Linked DNA regions of Bombyx mori. The protein of the gene in region 2 purifies or fractionates together with the protein of the main gene of each other region. This does not show direct contact. Links are inferred from orthologs where the notes say so. Each region holds a gene or a part of one and is shown on either strand. Other genes may lie near its edges.

Region 1 (4,534 bases), on a different chromosome or scaffold from region 2:
CACAGGGCCTTTATGTTCCAAAAATGTCCATTTTGTTCCATCATCGGTCTTCTCTTCTTCCCACCTGTATTAAACATTAAAATATAAAGTGCACGCTAAAAATATAAAAAACTGACTGTTAATGGAAAGTCATTTAAAACCAACTTGCTTCTTGGAAATCGTCGCTTGTGTCTGGTAAAAACAGAACTTAATGATACTTTACGTAAAAATGGACTGTTATTCCACACAATAACACTCACAACTTTAAACATAATCCATAAAACCAATATAACCTCAAAAAAGAACATTCACAATTACATATCGAACTAAAAATGATTTGACGAATTTTATCCAGCTTAATTTGATCACTTATGTTTCGAATTATTTAAAATGTTTGAGGGGTAGCCTCTATCAACGTCAAATGCTATCAAGATGTTATGTGACAAATTATTTCTGACAATGCTTGAATTAGGTTGGATATGTCACGCCATCTATTGGTAGAAATTAGATATGAAGTGTCACTAAAGCAGTTACTTCACAGAGTTTAAGATTAAATATTTAATGTTAAAAAAGTTCTACTGAGCAATCTGAAGTCACAACAAATTAAAGTTTGCCTTGTGATATTATTGGTTTTAAAAGTAGACAAAACATTGGATAATTTGGCAATGTCAGACTATAAATAATCGTTTACAATATTTTAATGAGCAAAAAATAGCCTTTAATTACCATTTCCAGACTTGTTCTGTTTCTGTGTCTTGTTTTTTCTTCCGTTTATTGGGACTGATACCATCATCTATGGGCTCAGATTTCACCTTAACTGATTTAGTTTTTTCAGAACTCTTCTTTTTCTTTTTAGGTTTTTCATCTTCTTCATAATCATCATAATCTTCATAAGTCTCTTCTGTAAACATTTCCAAAAGGTTCAAAAAGCTGTTTATAATTAATTTCTAGAATAATGTTAAGACTTTTACCTTTTTTTACTTTTTTCTTAGATTTCTTTCTTTGTAGTAATGGAATGTCTTCTTCACCATCACTAACATGGCGTTTTTTAGCTTTTCGTGCAGTCTATAAAATAATATATTCATTTTATTAGATAACTATATATTTAGTAAAAATAAGAACTGTTACTGTATGATAAAAATAGGAAATAAGGACAAGGATGAGTAAAAAAATTAATATTATAATAAATTTGGGTATTAAGTTGGTAGTTATTAAGTATAAATGGATTATTCTTGAATTCAACTTACTAGTGGTATATCCTCTTCACTTTCATCATCTGGAGGCAGTTCAGAAAGTGGCTCATCTTTAAATTGGGACATAGAGTAGTCACAAGATGAGACAGTTGTGTTAGCTCCAGCATATCCTTCATCACTATCATCTTGTTCACGTTTTAAGACTGGTTGATCCACCTTAACAATAAAAAACTAAATTATTATTTTGGCCCTCATGGACAATGGCATCCAAATAAATAGACAACTACCAAAAAAACTCATTATGAGAATGGCAGTACTATAGGGTTTAGTGCATATTTGGAGAATGATTTTATATTTATGCTTTTCAGACAATGTTGGAATGCAATAAGAAAATAATAGCCCACATACACACCTCCATAGGTTCATCTTTTATGACATTCTGAGACTCAGATTTTATCTTTTCATTTCTTTCACTTGAACTTTTCTCCTTGTTCTTGCTGGAGCTGAAACCAAAATTGCAAAATACATTCAATTTGTAGTTTAAGATGCAGGTGCATTCATTACAAAAATTTTTAACCAAATGTTACTGACTTTTGACAACTATTGATGGTGTCAAATATATATGACTGGATACTGTCAGTTTTAAATTCTAATTAAAAATACTTGTCTATATATACCTGTTTTTATCTTTTGAACTGGAGTGCTTATCTTTGTCCCTATGGTGTTTATCCTTGTCACTCCTGTGTCGATCTTTATCTTTTTCATCTTTACTTTTAGATTTATGATCTTTATCCTTTGATGAGCTTTTGTGTTCTTTATCTCTGGATGATGATGATGATGATGTCTTTTTGCTATCTGAACTGCTTTTATTCTTGTCTTTTTCATCACGCCTATCTTTGTCACTTTTTGATTTTTCTCTATGTTTGTCCTTGTCACTGCGGTGTTTATCTTTGTCACTACGTTCTTTATCTCTGCTACTGTGATCTTTATCACTTCTGTCTCTCTTTTCACTGTTGTGTTCTTTATCTTTGCTGGAAGATTTATGGGAGCTGCTGTGCTCTTTACTGCTTGAGTGTTTGTCTTTGTCCTTGTCTCTTTAAATACAATACTTATAAAACTTACAATATTTCATAGTGAAAACGTTAATTTCATACAGAATATTCTAGAATGCTTACCTGCTAGAGCTGCTGTGCTTGGACGAGCCCTTGTGATCGCGATCTTTGTCGCGATGCTTGTCTTTGCTAGAAGATTTGTGGCTTGATTTGTGTTTGTCAGAGCTACTGTAGCCGTTATGCATGCCGTTCACGTGTTCATTTTTATTTCCATTTACCTTTCCCTGTGAAAGAGATCGAAATTTCTCTTAATTTTTAACATAACATTAACCCCAAATGTATATTTGTTCATATTTTAGAAAAGACGCTATGTGGCAGTTTGTGTTTTTTTTTCACATTTATTCTTGGCGTGTCAAACGACGCTACGTTCTTTCTGCTTGAACATTATAGTTGACGCCATATTGGGACTTAGAAAATTTTGCTTCGTGTTGTAATTTTCATCAGTAAGGACACGAAACCTTAAGCAATAGAAGCTTATTGAATACGTAGAACGATTAATATCATAATAACAAGTCTAAATAATAACTTACAGATTCACAATCATTATCGCTGGCCGGGTTTTCGACACTCATTTTGCCTACGTATCACAACGTTTGTTCGAATAAGATTACATGAGGCCGGCCGAAAACGAGCGCAAAATCTAAGTGTCCAGAAGTGACGAATGCGCATGCGTCGTTGCTCATACGATAAAAGGGAACTTCACTCCGCTTGGTTCAATGTTCTGGTTTGTACGAACTTCAAGTTGACAGTTCAGCTTTTTAAAAAACTGAAATGGCAATGGAATGTATGCCATCTAAGCCTTCATCTAAGATTCAATCTAAAGTATTTATACTTGGATACTTAGTCATTATACGAAATTCGTGTAACTTCCAGACGCAGAATATGTGTAATAATAGTATAGTAGGTTCTGCGTATGTAGAGAAACTATAATTACGGTACCGTGGGTAATGCTCACTTTAAAATTACTACGTCTATTTGTACATGCTTAAATGTCAATAATTGAAGATCTGCATGCATGCTATCGTAACTTTAAACCAATTCATAACTTTATAGAAGATTTCTGTAAACTTCACAAACCAAGATTGTCAATAAATATAAGATATAAGATTGTCGATAATTATTTATTGGATTGGAAGGAATTGGAGGAGGCCTATGCCAAAAGGCACACCGAACTTAGGGACCTCTTGTAACCCTATGTTTAGGAATAAAAAGGCTATTATTATTATTATTATTAATTATTTATTAACAATCTTGATTTTATGTAAACTATCAGCTTCTCGACACTAGTATTTTCTTCGGCTATCGCAAGTTTTCTCTTCTTGTTCGTTGTTCGCAAAGAACTTTGTATACAAAAAAAGACTCGTCGACTGCTCAGCTACGAATTCTCAAGTTCTTTGGGCACATCTCCAGAAAGGAGGACACCGTGGAGATACTTTTCGTAAATGGCCTTGTAGAAGGCAGAATACCTCGATGTCTACCCCCACGGGCTGCATTGTCGTCATCACCAGCACTACGAAAGCCACCGCTACGACAGCTACGACTACTCTGCCAAGAGTAGCCTAGCTGTGTTCGGGAGAATTTGTCAACACTAGCCCTACCAAGTGCAGTGCTTTGCAGAATCTACCACTCGATCAGAATCGCGACCCAATGAGAAGATCCGGCAAGAAACTCAGTGGACTGTTTCTATGGGTTAGTTCGCTCGTCGAACTCTTCGTCGTAACGACAGTAACCGGTGCTTGAGGGACCTAAAAGCACCGAGAGTGGATCCGGGGATCCGACAAGACACGTTTCGGGCTACGATGACTTTGCGTTGTCCTATCGCTTGGGTCGGATATACATATTTTGTATATCTAACTAGCGGCGGTCACGATAAGAGGGTTATCGTGTAGCGCTTTCTTGAGTCGTAGATATCATTAAACTACTTTTACGATTTAATTTCTATTATCATTTTATTCTTAACATTGTCTGTTTGACTTTTTTTACTATTTTTTTTTGTGGTAATTAGACTTATAATAAAATTGAATCTATTGGTGCTTACTGTACAGACTAGCTTGTGCAGTTTACCTATATGGAGCAATGTAATCATGCAATGTAATGCAAAAACATAGGGGCAATTCTCATTAATTATTTTTGTGCAGGAAGGATTACTGGTGGCCTTGAAGCCTTTTCAGTTTCACCACGACAAGTGGGCGAGTAAGCCAGAAGGGTTGGGATTTGCTAACAGCTACCTGAACGTCTCCAAAGGAGACC
Region 2 (3,502 bases):
GACGCGATATGAAGTGTAATTAACCATTTACGTAAATTAATTGTGTTATTATAGTATAAGCTAGTTGAATGGTTTATACGCTATGTTTGTATAAAGCGAGTTACCTGCAGTCAAACTGCGTAAGCAGTTTTGCGGGGCATGTTTTGAATGGGTAACTTTTTATGAATAAATATATTACATACATACATAATATGTTACATATAGTTTAGAATGAAATAGATTTGTGATAGAAGAAAAATCTGTGAAGAATAGATAACTAATCCACAATATAGCTTACAGATGATGTGTTTGGTTAAGTAAACAACTATTTCTAATTCATTGTCAAGTTTTAAACAGGTATACACAGATATTATAAATGGGAAAGGTTGTGAGGATGGATATGTATTACTCATTCATGCTAAACCTACTGGAAGGATTTTGATAAACTTCAAAATGCAATCGATAGCTTATCAAATATATTATCATGGTAGTAAATAGCCTATTATATAGTATGATCAACGCAGTGGCCACTTCGATTCAAGAAATTGATGTTACAATTAGCAATATTCACAGGAGAGCATGGTCGTGTTGCAGTCTGTCATGAATATTTTTAAGGAGAATGTATAGAAAAAGAAATGTTTTTTCTATATTTCAGTTCTTGTGATATCCGGTACTCGGAGGGTATACAATCGTTGAACTGGACCAAAGTTATGAAAACTATAACAGATGACATTGAGGGCTTCTTCGAAAATGGTGGCTGGTCATTTTTGGATCCAGAATCTGATGGTGAAAATGAACAAGAGGTTTGTATATCAGAAAAGTAGAAAACGTTATAAACGATTTTCTGTTCATTTATTTAAAATAGTATTTAAAAAATTTAAGAAAATTTAAATTATTTTACGTAACAATATACACACTTTTTGTGAATATCTAAGAAACTTTTTTTTAATCATAGTATATATAACTTCTGATATTGGACAACAAAACATAATTTAACATATAACCCAAAGGACTTTAAAGAAAAGTTATTTGAAGCTTAAAAGTAGATATAGGTAATATAATTTTAGAAATTAATTTTCTATGAGATTATTTCGCGTAGATAATGACAGAATTGTTTCGATCCATTCAAAACAACAAATCTGATAAAACTAATTGTATTTTAGGAGGAAGATAGTGAAGATGAAGATGAAGCGTACGAGCCTACGGACGCTGAGTCTGATGAATCTGAAGGGTCTGACTATGATTCTGAGGCGTCTGATGAATCTGACGCTTCGGGTGATAGTGAAGGTGAGAATAACTAATTGTCAATAAATTAAAAAAAATCGGCTAGATGCCAGTTATTCATACATTACCAATATCTTTGACTAAATTGAGATTACCATGATCTTATTTTCGAAGTCAATAAAAAGGCTGTTTAATTTGTTATATTTATGGTTTCTATTAATAATCTCTGGCAAATCATAAGTGTGCTATTAATAATTATTCGTTTATTTGTTCGAATAGTTTATTCGTTTACATTTACTGGTTTACTGGTTGGTTTACTGGCTTTAGACATTACCACAAGTACGAATGTTACATATTAATTACTTGATTCGCAGAGGAAGACGAAGAATCCGGTAAAGACTGGTCAGATTTAGAGCGGGAAGCTGCCGAAGAGGATAAAAAAGACCGCAACTTCGATCGAGATGACTTCGACCGGAAACGTAAAGGACGAAACCAACAACGCTCGTACGACTCTGATGAGGGAGCCGCCAAGAAAAGCAAACATGACAAGTCTAATCATAAAAGTTCTAGTTCAAACCACAAAAGCTCTAGTTCCAATCATAAAAGTTCGAGCTCAAACCATAAGAGCTCCAGTCATAAAAGCCCTTCAAAGAACAGTAGCAGGTATGTCTGAATTGTTTAAATTAGAAAAAATAATTATGAGAAAGGAAAACTACGTATGAAAGCATCACTGAAAAATATTCAGATCTGTAAATCCCAGAAACTCAGCCTGGGTTGCAATAAGTTGAGAAAATTTTAGTGTACAGTATTGACTGACAGGATAGCCCTAAAATGATAGTAACATAATGTAACTAAGATTAAGTGAAAAGTATAATATTTTTCAATGATTATTATAATAATTATTCGGCCATTAAGCAGGCCGAATGCAGGTAGCATTGGAGGAAGCTGGTGCAAAAACTGGACCAAGGTGGTCACGACCCTCAGCAATGAGGAAACGACAGAGAAGAGAAGAGATTATAATATTTATAATTGCCCTAATTTCAGCCCTTCCAAGAACCGGGATAAGCACCACAAATCATCCCACCATGATCGACACCACAAGAGTGACCATAAGTCCTCTAGTAAAGACAAAGACAAGAAACATTCTAGTGACCATAAATCACACAAACGGTCACGCGATGACAGCAGAGAACACGGCAACAGCGCAAAGAAAGCGAAGTGAGTATTCTAAAAACAGATATATTTTATATAAATTTGGTTGCGTGCATAAATTGAAAGTAATAAACAACAGACTTATTTGATAAAAAGTCAAAAGCTGAAATATTTATCTAATAATTTTCTATAAAACAGAAATGCATGTCCCTACCACGTTATTTAATATGTCATTAATAATTAAAAAAAATATTCTTGTTTCAGAAAATAAAAAAGCAAACGTTTTGATACAAAGGATTCAAACGGGTTTCATTCGCCACAGCGGCTTGTTAATAATAATTACGTATGTGATTGTGTCGTCTCATAATTTGTCCGTCTAATGTTAAAAAACAGGTCTGAGTGTTTTGTATGTATGTTGTTAATAAATTTTCAGTTGAGAATGTGACACGATAATAGTTAAGTAAATTTAAATAAATAAAGAACCTGTGCCCCACTTACACAGCACACGATATTGTTTTTCCCGAAAAAAGCAAAGTGAATAAGAAAAATAAGAATTCATAATCTGTGTGTATTTTATTTATTTTTAAATCATAAATAACACGATTAAAAATAAAATAACAAAAAAGTATTATAACCCCAAAATTAAGATTAGGAAATATTCAGTTAGTAGTTACTAGTAAATATATGTACAGCAGTAACACATACAGGAATTTTGTGTTATTTAAATGAAATTCCGAAACCTTGTTTTGAGGTTACAATTCAAATCTCGTAATAGATAACTTACAATCTTCTACATTGATCACATTTGTACATTATGTACAGCAAATAAAATCTACCTACATATAACGTAAAATAATTAGCACTGTTTGTCGTTTCCTTGGGCCACAACGACCGGTCCTCGAGGTAGTACTGTAATTCTCTTGTCTAATATGCCTACGTCCTGGATTTTGGTGTCGGTCTGCTCTTGAGTGTCACTCGAACTCCAGTACTTCTTATTTACTAGCATTAGCAACATTAATGCTGGTAGGTGAAGTAGAGAAAATCTGAATAGCTTCCGCGAACTTGCGCTGTCTGATTTTTGGTAGAATTGCCATGCTGTAACAGATTTTAGATATTGATTTGGTTAATAAACAATGATAACAAAGAT

The links.
Region 1: the proteins of FACT complex subunit spt16 (region 2) and DNA topoisomerase I, mitochondrial fractionate together in Homo sapiens (co-fractionation; 3 studies listed by BioGRID and IntAct, with this or other methods). This does not show direct contact. The link is inferred for Bombyx mori from reciprocal best matches to the Homo sapiens genes SUPT16H and TOP1.

The regions. Positions count from the first base shown.
Region 1 is NC_085110.1:12,998,971-13,003,504, forward strand, and holds the start of DNA topoisomerase I, mitochondrial, read right to left. Parts: upstream 3,097-4,534; 5' UTR 2,857-3,096; coding exon 2,815-2,856; intron 2,509-2,814; coding exon 2,348-2,508; intron 2,267-2,347; coding exon 1,850-2,266; intron 1,676-1,849; coding exon 1,585-1,675; intron 1,389-1,584; coding exon 1,227-1,388; intron 1,045-1,226; coding exon 951-1,044; intron 881-950; coding exon 706-880; intron 535-705; exon of another isoform or gene 288-534; coding exon of another isoform or gene 145-287; intron 65-144; coding exon 1-64. UniProt on the Homo sapiens protein: Releases the supercoiling and torsional tension of DNA introduced during the DNA replication and transcription by transiently cleaving and rejoining one strand of the DNA duplex.
Region 2 is NC_085116.1:13,778,239-13,781,740, forward strand, and holds the end of FACT complex subunit spt16, read left to right. Parts: intron 1-634; coding exon 635-782; intron 783-1,142; coding exon 1,143-1,266; intron 1,267-1,577; coding exon 1,578-1,866; intron 1,867-2,247; coding exon 2,248-2,421; intron 2,422-2,619; coding exon 2,620-2,626; 3' UTR 2,627-2,916; downstream 2,917-3,502. Other genes in the region: protoheme IX farnesyltransferase, mitochondrial, read right to left, coding at 3,212-3,450. UniProt on the Homo sapiens protein: Component of the FACT complex, a general chromatin factor that acts to reorganize nucleosomes. The FACT complex is involved in multiple processes that require DNA as a template such as mRNA elongation, DNA replication and DNA repair.